Canis lupus familiaris: one gene and its partner. The protein of the gene in region 2 interacts with the protein of the main gene of each other region in a biochemical or structural test. Links are inferred from orthologs where the notes say so. Each region holds a gene or a part of one and is shown on either strand. Other genes may lie near its edges. The genes, in order: FBLN5 and LOXL1.

Region 1 (3,799 bases), on a different chromosome or scaffold from region 2:
GACTGGACCCCACATTCTTCACCTTCAGAGTGACCACCAACCAGCTCTCCCCTCCCTGCCTCACCCCTCCTTTTCACTCTCTTCCTCCTCTGCCTCTCTCTCTCTCTCTCTCTCTCACACACACACACACACACACACACACACACTCACACACCCCATGTCCCTCGCAACCCCTAAGAATGGAGAAGTTCTCCCCTCGCAACTCTGCAGGCTACTTGTTTGCATACTATTTGCATGGATCCAGATGGCAATGTGACACTCGTTTGCATGAACGTATAGAAGACGTCATGAAATAATCAACCCAGCCTCTCTAACAGCTCAATGCTTCAGAGCCCTGAAATGGGACCAACAAAAAAAAAAAATCTCACTAGGTACACCAGTGGTCTCCAGACCTTTGAGGACATCAGAAGGAAGTATCAGAGCTTCAAGGCACATTTATTTCTATCACATCTTCTAAAATGTTCTATTTTTGAATGGATGCATTACACTCCTCAAACCATATTAGCATAACAGGATATGTATGTAATTTATAAATATGTCTATAATGGGGCTTCAGGCTCAAAATGATCTTGGATATGGGGTGCATATGATAAAAAAAAAAAGTCCATCATAGCTCTAGTCCATCTGCCAAAGTTAGAAATAGTTACAAAGGTTTTAGTCCAACCATCAAAGCAACCAAGAGAGGATCCCAGGTAACCCTCTGCCAAGGCCCACCCTGTCCCACAGATACCAAAGCTCACTAGGGCACCAGTCAAACAGCTTGCCAACCCCCTGGGGGCCTCACAGCCTCTGGTGTCGCCTTCTTCCCAGAGGTCTACTCCTGCTGTGAATTACCATCAGTGAGGCTCACATTTTAGCCAAAAGAACATTGGCACCCACCCAAGGAACCCACTCTCTTTCCAGAACAATTGGCCGTGGCCTTCAGGACTTTTTATTTCAAGAGTATACATTCCATTCGAGGGTGAGGAGTGTTGCAGAGAAACTGCTGGTCCTTTCTAGATCTTCTCTTTGGGATTTACTCAGTGAAACCAGAAGCATTTTTTATCAAACAGAAAAAATATAAACTTCGTCTTTAAATAGATAGATGACAGAGAGACAGACTGACAGATGAAAATGAAGAAAAATTGGCTCTCTGGATGAAGAACCCTCACGTACATCAATCCAAGCTACTCCCAGCTGGGAGGGTTCCCAGAGACACGGGCTGCTAAACGTGAAGGAACTTCATAGAAAGTAAGAAGTCACTGTTTCGTGAGTGAAGACTTCACTGTGGCGGGATTAGGACTTGACCAGAGCACAGAAGCCGGAGATGCCAGGCTACTCACCCACACACTGGTTGCTCTCATCCATCTGGTATCCAAAGCGGCATATGAGAGGCCTCGAAATGGTGGGGTAGTTTGGAGCTGATAGTGGTGGGGCCGCTGCTGGGTACGGACCCGTGTATGGGTTTGAGTAGGGGTTCGAGTAGGGCCCTCGGTACACTGGGTTTGTCCGGGGGATGCATAAATACCCGCCGTTTTGGTTAACACACATCATGTCTCCTCGGCAGGCCTCAGGGATGGTCCGGCATTCATCAATATCTGGAAGGGCCACGGAAAGGATGAGTGTTAGCGGCTCCCTGCCCATGCCCTACGTGCTGCATATTTAAGCCAAAGACCCCAAGACCTCTTCACTACCACATGCTCCCAGACGCTGAGGAGAGTCCCTGGTTCATCACTGCAGGGACTCTCACATGCTGGCTAAATGGGATCACACTGACCAGCGTCACCTGAGCATCAGCCATTAGAGACCACATCACCATTTGGGGGCCGTATCCACAAAACATTATCACCCCCATTTGAAGCCCAAGTAAAAACACTATCAATTAACATGAATAGAAGGAAAAACAGGAAAAAGGAATCTATAAATACTAAACTAGAGGATCTCTCTGTGAGTAACACCTCAGAGGCCCCCCTGTGCCCCTGGGAAACATGGGGACAGACCTAATCATTACTCCCACCTCTACTCCAAATAACAGCTGGGCACGGGAGACAGCCGCTTGCACGCAGGAAGACGTCCGGCCTGGCTGAGAGCTAGCCACCTATTAGCAAAGTGGAGGCTTCCTTGCAGGTCAGCTCACACTGAGCCCACAACAGGCCCATTTCCAGACAGGCTAATGTTCTGCTCATCATGCCAGGAGCAGGAGGCAGGTTCCTGAGAAAATCGGCCCTGCAAGGATGGGGCAGGGGACCCCTGGGCTCTGGCTCCAGCATAGCAGCCTACTATCTGAGCCTACCCGCTGGGCCCTGTCGCAGCCTTGGGGTCACTCCACAGGGGCCAGCGCCTGGGGGACACATGTCGGAAGCCCGATGGCTCACCCCAAGCAGCCCCTCCAAAGAAATGCACACGAAGGCCCACCAGGAAAGGGAAATGCTGAGGCTCAGGTGCCCCATCTGCAGCCGTAAGCCTGAGGCCCTCCAGAAGGCCGGTGGGACAGAAAACAATGGCCCGCTGCCCCCCTCTCTGCCCCTGGCGCACCCCCGTCTCCCAGTGCCTCTAATCAAAGTGCACACCCAGGTTTTCCACAGCAGGGTTGTGTTGTTCCTCACCACTCATCACTTTTGGGAACCATGTGTCTCTCCTCTGGGTCTTAGCTGACGTGAGCTCCAGGAAGACACAGCCCCTGGCTTCCATCAAATATAATCAAAAAGCTAAATACACCCCCCAGGTGGGAGCAAGTGGGGCTGCCTTATTGTCCTGGTAGAGGAGCTATGCTCCAGCCACAGCAAACTATTCTGTACTCGCAGTGTCCTTTCCACCCCGGTCTTCACTTCTGCTGTTTCTTCCACTTGGGATGCCATTTCTCAGGATCCTACTCATCCCTCAGTTCTCAATTCAGGGGCACCTGAGTGGCTCAGGACATGACTCCGGGGTCCGGGGATCCAGGACCTCCCTCTGCCTATGTCTCTGCCTATGTTTCTCATCTGATAAATAAAACATTAAAAAAAATACTAGATTCAAATGTGGCCTCCATGAAGGCTTTTTTTATTGACCCCTGACATAAGACATCACTGCCTCCCCTACTTCTGTAGGGCCCATGGCTCTGGCCTTAACTTGGCAATGATTGTTATTCCAGCACATACGGTGTTCTCTCTGTCCAGGTCTACCTTTTCCACCAGATGACGTACTAGGAGAATAGCCCCCAAATGTCAGTCCTCATCCTCGGAACTGGTGGCAGCATCAGGCTACTCAGTAAAGGAAAATGAGGTAGCAGGTGGAATTTAAGCTGCTACCCGGCTGACCTTGAGATGTGGGGGGATTACATGAGTGGGCCCAGTGTCATCACAGAAGTCCTTAAAAGCAGAAGAAGAGGCAAGAAGGGTCAGTCAGAGAGATGTGACAACGGGAAAAGAAGAGATCCAGAGCCTGTGAGGGACTTAACCCACAGTGGTGGCTCTGAAGATGGAGGAGGGGACCACGAGGCAGGGGATGAGGAGGGAAAGACCTCTACTGACAGCCAGCAAGGACCTGGGGGCTCCAGTCCTGCAACTGTGGGAAATGCCACGGGAATGCAAACTGGTGCAGCCACTACAGAGAGGGATCTGGAGGTTTCTCAAAAAGTTAAAAATAGGACCACCATATGGTCCAGCAATCCCAATTTTGGGTACTTATCTGAAGGAAATGAGAGCAGAACCTCAAAGAGACACCTGCACTCCCATGCTCCCTGCAGGGCAGTTCACAAGAGCCAAGACGTGGAAGCCACCAACGTGTACATCAGCAGAGGAATGGATAAGGTGGGTGAAGATGTGTTTATATCAAGGTA
Region 2 (4,488 bases):
CCTGATCGAAGCTGACTTTGGACTTGCAATAGCCACCTAGCCTTGGCCAGGCCACTCGGGGGCCCTCAGTGCGGAAGCCTGTCTGCCACAGCATGTGTGGAGCTGTCCACCGGAGGAAAGCTGCCGCTTCACGGGGTTGTCCCTTCACGGGCTTCTCCCGTACGGATGGCTTGGGCCTTCCCAAGACCAGGTCACAGTTTTGCATCCATCCCCACCCTCTCCCCCGCTGAAAATGAAAACGCCAGAGGGAGGCCGTCTCCAGCTCCCTCCTGGGGCTCTCCCGGGAGCAGCTGAGCTGAGCGAGAGGAGAGGAGCGAGCTGAGCTGAGCTGAGCGAGGTATGGGCCTGGGCACCCAAACATAAAAAATAATAATAATAATAATAAAATAAAAACCAGTAGCCAAGAGAAGTAGTATCTGCAGCAACACTTTTTAAAACTCAGAATCGGTGGCCAGAAAAATCTGTGACGGAACAAAATAATCAACATTTCAAATAAGTACAGGATCAGTCCGCCTCTGGCTCCCGCACCGCTCGGCGGGGCTCGGTTACTAATTGTGCTTGAAAGCGGGATACTACTCTGTTCATCACAGGTTTTTCTTAGACGTTTGCATGACTTTTGACCCAAGAGGCATTAGCATGTCACTTTCCTTGATCCCTGAGCTTTTTTTGACATCCGCCTTAAATTTTGCGCCCGGGGTCGGTGCCTCGCTCGCTAGCTTGGCCAGCCTGGCCCTGGCAGTGTCCCCCCTGCTCCCCGAGGGAAGTCCTGTTGTTCAGTCTGGACTGCGGCCTGGGCCACGAGGTGCCCCCCTGACCTCCTGCGCGTCGCGGGCCAAGCTCACAGATGCTAGGGGCTGGGATTTTGCTGCACGTCCAGGGGCATCCCCCCGGGAGGCCTTAGCGCACCCACCCCGAGCGAGACCCAGCTTTCCCCCTGCCAGGCTGGCGCTGCGGAGGGGGGTGGGCGGGGGGCGGGTGGCAGATGCCCCCCTACTCCGTTGAAACAAGGGAGGGGGGCAGGCAGGGGAGGGGGAGAGCGTCCTTCCCTTTGTCCCCAGCTGACCCCCACCTGCAGGTGCAGGGGCCTCCTCCCGCCAAGCCCGGCCAGGTGCCGCCTCTAGGGGTGCGCGCGGGCCTGGGGGCCCCGGAGGCCGCGGGGGCGCGGGGGCACGGGGGGGGGGTCCCGGGCGGGTACTCACCGCGGCCGCTCGGGCTGGGCCGGTACACGCTGCCCACGCTGAGGCGCCCCTGCTGCGCGCCGGCCCGCTCGGCCCCGGGCGGGGGCGCGTCCGAGCTGCGCAGCGGCAGGTAGGGCGGCTCCGGCGCGCGGAAGGGCGGCTGCGGCTCGGCGTGGGCGTAGGGCGGGAGCCAGGCGAGGCGCGGCGCGGCGGGGCCCGCGTCGGGGGCGGCGAGCTCGGGGCCGGCGGCCTCGTGGTACAGGCTGTGCGCGTAGCGGCGGTCCAGGCCGTCGGGCGCGGGCGCGGGCGGCGGGGGCGCGTAGGGCCGCTCCGCGCCGGGGTAGAAGGTCTGCGGCGGGAGCTCGGGGGGCTCCTCGCCGCCGCCGCCGTAGTCCTCGTAGCGCGGCCGCGGCGGGAACGGGTAGGCGCCCCCCGCGGAGACCGAGGCCGAGGCCGCCGCCGCCGCCAGCGCGCCCCCCGCGCCGCCGCGGTAGTACACGTAGCCCTGGTCGTAGCTGCGCGACCCGGGGTCGTAGGCCTCGTACTGGCCGACGAAGGGCGCCTGCGGCGGGGGGAACGGCTGCGGGAAGGAGGGCTGCTGGCGGTAGGTGGCGGCGAAGGCCGAGGCCGCCACGGACGAGCCCGCGCCCGCGCCCCCGCCCCCGTGGCGCGGCGGGGACACGGCCGTGCGCACCCGCGCCAGCCCCGCGCCGTCCCCGACCGCCACCTCGCGCCAGTTGTCGGGCACCTGGCCGAAGCCGAAGGGGTGGCGCGCCTGGCCGCGCACCGTGTCGGAGCCCGCGCGCCCGGGCAGGGGCTGCAGGGGCTGCAGGGGCTGCAGGGGGTGCGCGGGGAGCGCGGGGAGCGGCGGGGCCTGCCTGCGCCGGAGGCCTCCGGGGCCGCGCCGCGCCGGGGCCTGGGGGGCGCCGGCCAGCAGCAGCCGCGAGCTACCGTCGGGGCGCGGCGGCCCGGGCGCCACGTACTCGGAGCCCGAGTTGAGCAGGCTGTACACCTGCCCGTTGTTCTCCCAGCGGATCAGCTGCCGCCAGCGCCCCGCGGCCGCGCCCTGCCCGGGCCGCGCCTCCTGCCCGCGCGCCAGGGCGCAGAGGCAGGCGCCCCACAGCAGGGCCCGCAGCCCGCCGCCCGCGCCCGCGCCCGCGCCCGCGCCCGCACCCATGGCGGCCCCTCGGCACAGCCCCCGCGGCGCGGCGCGCGCTCCTCTGCCCGCGGCCTCCACGACGGCTCGGCGCTCCGCCCGCCGCGGCTCTAGCTGAGTCCATGCCGGCCGGGCCCCGCGCGGCGCGGCTCCTCCGGGGACGGCATGGCGAGGCCGCGGGCGGGGCGGGGCGGGGCGGGGCGGGGCGGCGCCCGGGGCGCGGGGCTCTCGGCGGGAGAGGGGTCCCCGCACCTGCCGCCCGCGCCGCGGGAACGAGCCGGGGCCGGGCGCGCCGGGAGGCCTGGAGGCCGGGAGGCCGCCCGCCGGGGCCTCCTCCGCGCGGCCCTACGGCCCGCCGGCTTCGGGCCCGGCTCCCGCCGCCCCAGCGAGCGCGCAGCCAAGCCGCAGACCTGCCTCCGGGGAAGGCGGTGAAGCGGGGGGGGGGGGGCGGGGGGGGGGCGGGAGGCCTCGCGCGGGGCCCTGGCAGGCGGAGCCGCGTCGACAGCCCTGGGACCATTTCCCCCAGCCTTGGGCTCAGCATCCCTGGGCTCGCGCACTGGCTTCTCCGGCCCTGAAGGAGCCCCTAACCCCTGTTCACTCCCGCCGCCCCCCCCCTCCCAGGACTCCCCGAGCGCCCCTTCCCCGAAGCCAGCCCTAAGAGACCCCCCTTCTTGTTGATGGGGACATGCCGAATCCCCCCTCCCCCTGAATCTGGACCCCAGTTCCTTAGGCCTGAGCACAAAGGGGCTGGAGCTGGAGCGTCAGCTTTTCCCCCCTCCTGGCACACCTCTTGGCCTTCCTCTCCTGATGGGTCTCCTTGGGGACATGCCGAATCCCCCCTCCCCCTGATTCTGGACCCCAGTTCCTTAGGCCTGCGCACAAAGGGGCTGGAGTGTCAGCCTTTCCCCCCTCCCCGCACACCTCTTGGCCTTCCTCTCCTGGTCTGTAGAACGGGGTGTAGAACGGGGTGTGCCCCTGTGCCCAACAGAACTTGTGAAGTCACGGGAGAGGTCAGTTTCTCATACATTGCATCGCATGGTTTCTGTTCTCTCTCTCTCTCTCTCTCTCATCAACATAGCCTGGCAATAATCTGAGGGTGCCTGTGGGTAAAATGCGACCCAGGGGCTGTCTTTGATGGAGCAGAGGAGGCCTCGAGTGCTGAGGGAACAGCAGGAAGGGGGGTTCCGGAGAGCCAGGCCTGGTCCTGTTGTTGTGATGAAGTCCCTGGGGGTGGGTGGGGGGTCTTGGGCAAGGCCCTTCTCCGTTCTGATCCAGTTGCCACATCTGATCAATGGGGGATTCGGGCAGATGGTCCCCAAGAGTGCTTTGAGAGTTTCTCTGTCTTCTCCGAGGACAGCGGGGATAGGAGGGGTGCCAGAAGTTTGAACCTTGGCACCCAAGGAGTCACCCTCTGACTGCCTCCCCTGGGCTGCCTTCCCCAGCCTCACTCATGCGTGAACTGGAGGGCAAATATTTCCCTCCTGTGCTTCTACATCACGTAGGAAGAACTTGTCCTTCACTTGGCCTCTGCAGATTCCCCTCTGCTTTGGAGACTCCTGGAGCCCACCTGGGAGAAGCAAACCAGAGTGGACATTCCTCGGGGACCCTGGAGCCCTGGCCCTCACCCTTGCCAGCTGGCATTTGTTCACCCATTGCACTGTGCCTGGGGTGAGGCTCCATTCAGCGGACTCCTGCCGGCAACCCTTCAACACAGGCCCCTCAGTTACCTCATGTGGGGTTAAGTTTCGGACCCCAGGTGGGACTCCGGCCAGGAGTCACCCGTTTGGCTCCTACAAGGAGCCAGAGTAAGAGCCAGGCTCACTGGGGGCCGGGACCTGGAGGGTTAAGCCTTCGAGGCCTCCTGCCTGCCCCCTGCAGTGCGGGCCCCAGCTGCTTGGAATCCCTGGTGTCCCGTAGGGCCCTCCAACCAGCCAGATGGGCAGCAGCGCCAGGAGAGGAGGAGGAGAAGTGGAAACAGGCCTCAGGGTACCCCCAGTCAGGGAGGGGGGAGGGAAGAGGAAGGATGGAGGGAGGACAGAGGATGGCTGCGAGGTAGGGGAGCCCCACCAGCTGAGAGTGGAGAGGACCCCTCTTCTAGAGCCAGGCAGAGATGGGGTTGTGGGGAGATGGGGGCACAGGCTATCGAGCTCAACT

Evidence for each region.
Region 1: the proteins of LOXL1 (region 2) and FBLN5 form a complex in vitro, tested with the Homo sapiens proteins (2 studies listed by BioGRID and IntAct). The link is inferred for Canis lupus familiaris from reciprocal best matches to the Homo sapiens genes LOXL1 and FBLN5.

The regions. Positions count from the first base shown.
Region 1 is NC_049229.1:1,286,131-1,289,929, forward strand, and holds part of FBLN5 (fibulin-5), read right to left. Parts: intron 1,578-3,799; coding exon 1,323-1,577; intron 1-1,322. UniProt on the Homo sapiens protein: Essential for elastic fiber formation, is involved in the assembly of continuous elastin (ELN) polymer and promotes the interaction of microfibrils and ELN. Stabilizes and organizes elastic fibers in the skin, lung and vasculature.
Region 2 is NC_049251.1:37,620,536-37,625,023, reverse strand, and holds the start of LOXL1 (lysyl oxidase homolog 1), read right to left. Parts: upstream 2,852-4,488; coding exon 2,587-2,851; intron 2,487-2,586; coding exon 1,200-2,486; intron 1-1,199. UniProt on the Homo sapiens protein: Catalyzes the oxidative deamination of lysine and hydroxylysine residues in collagen and elastin, resulting in the formation of covalent cross-linkages, and the stabilization of collagen and elastin fibers.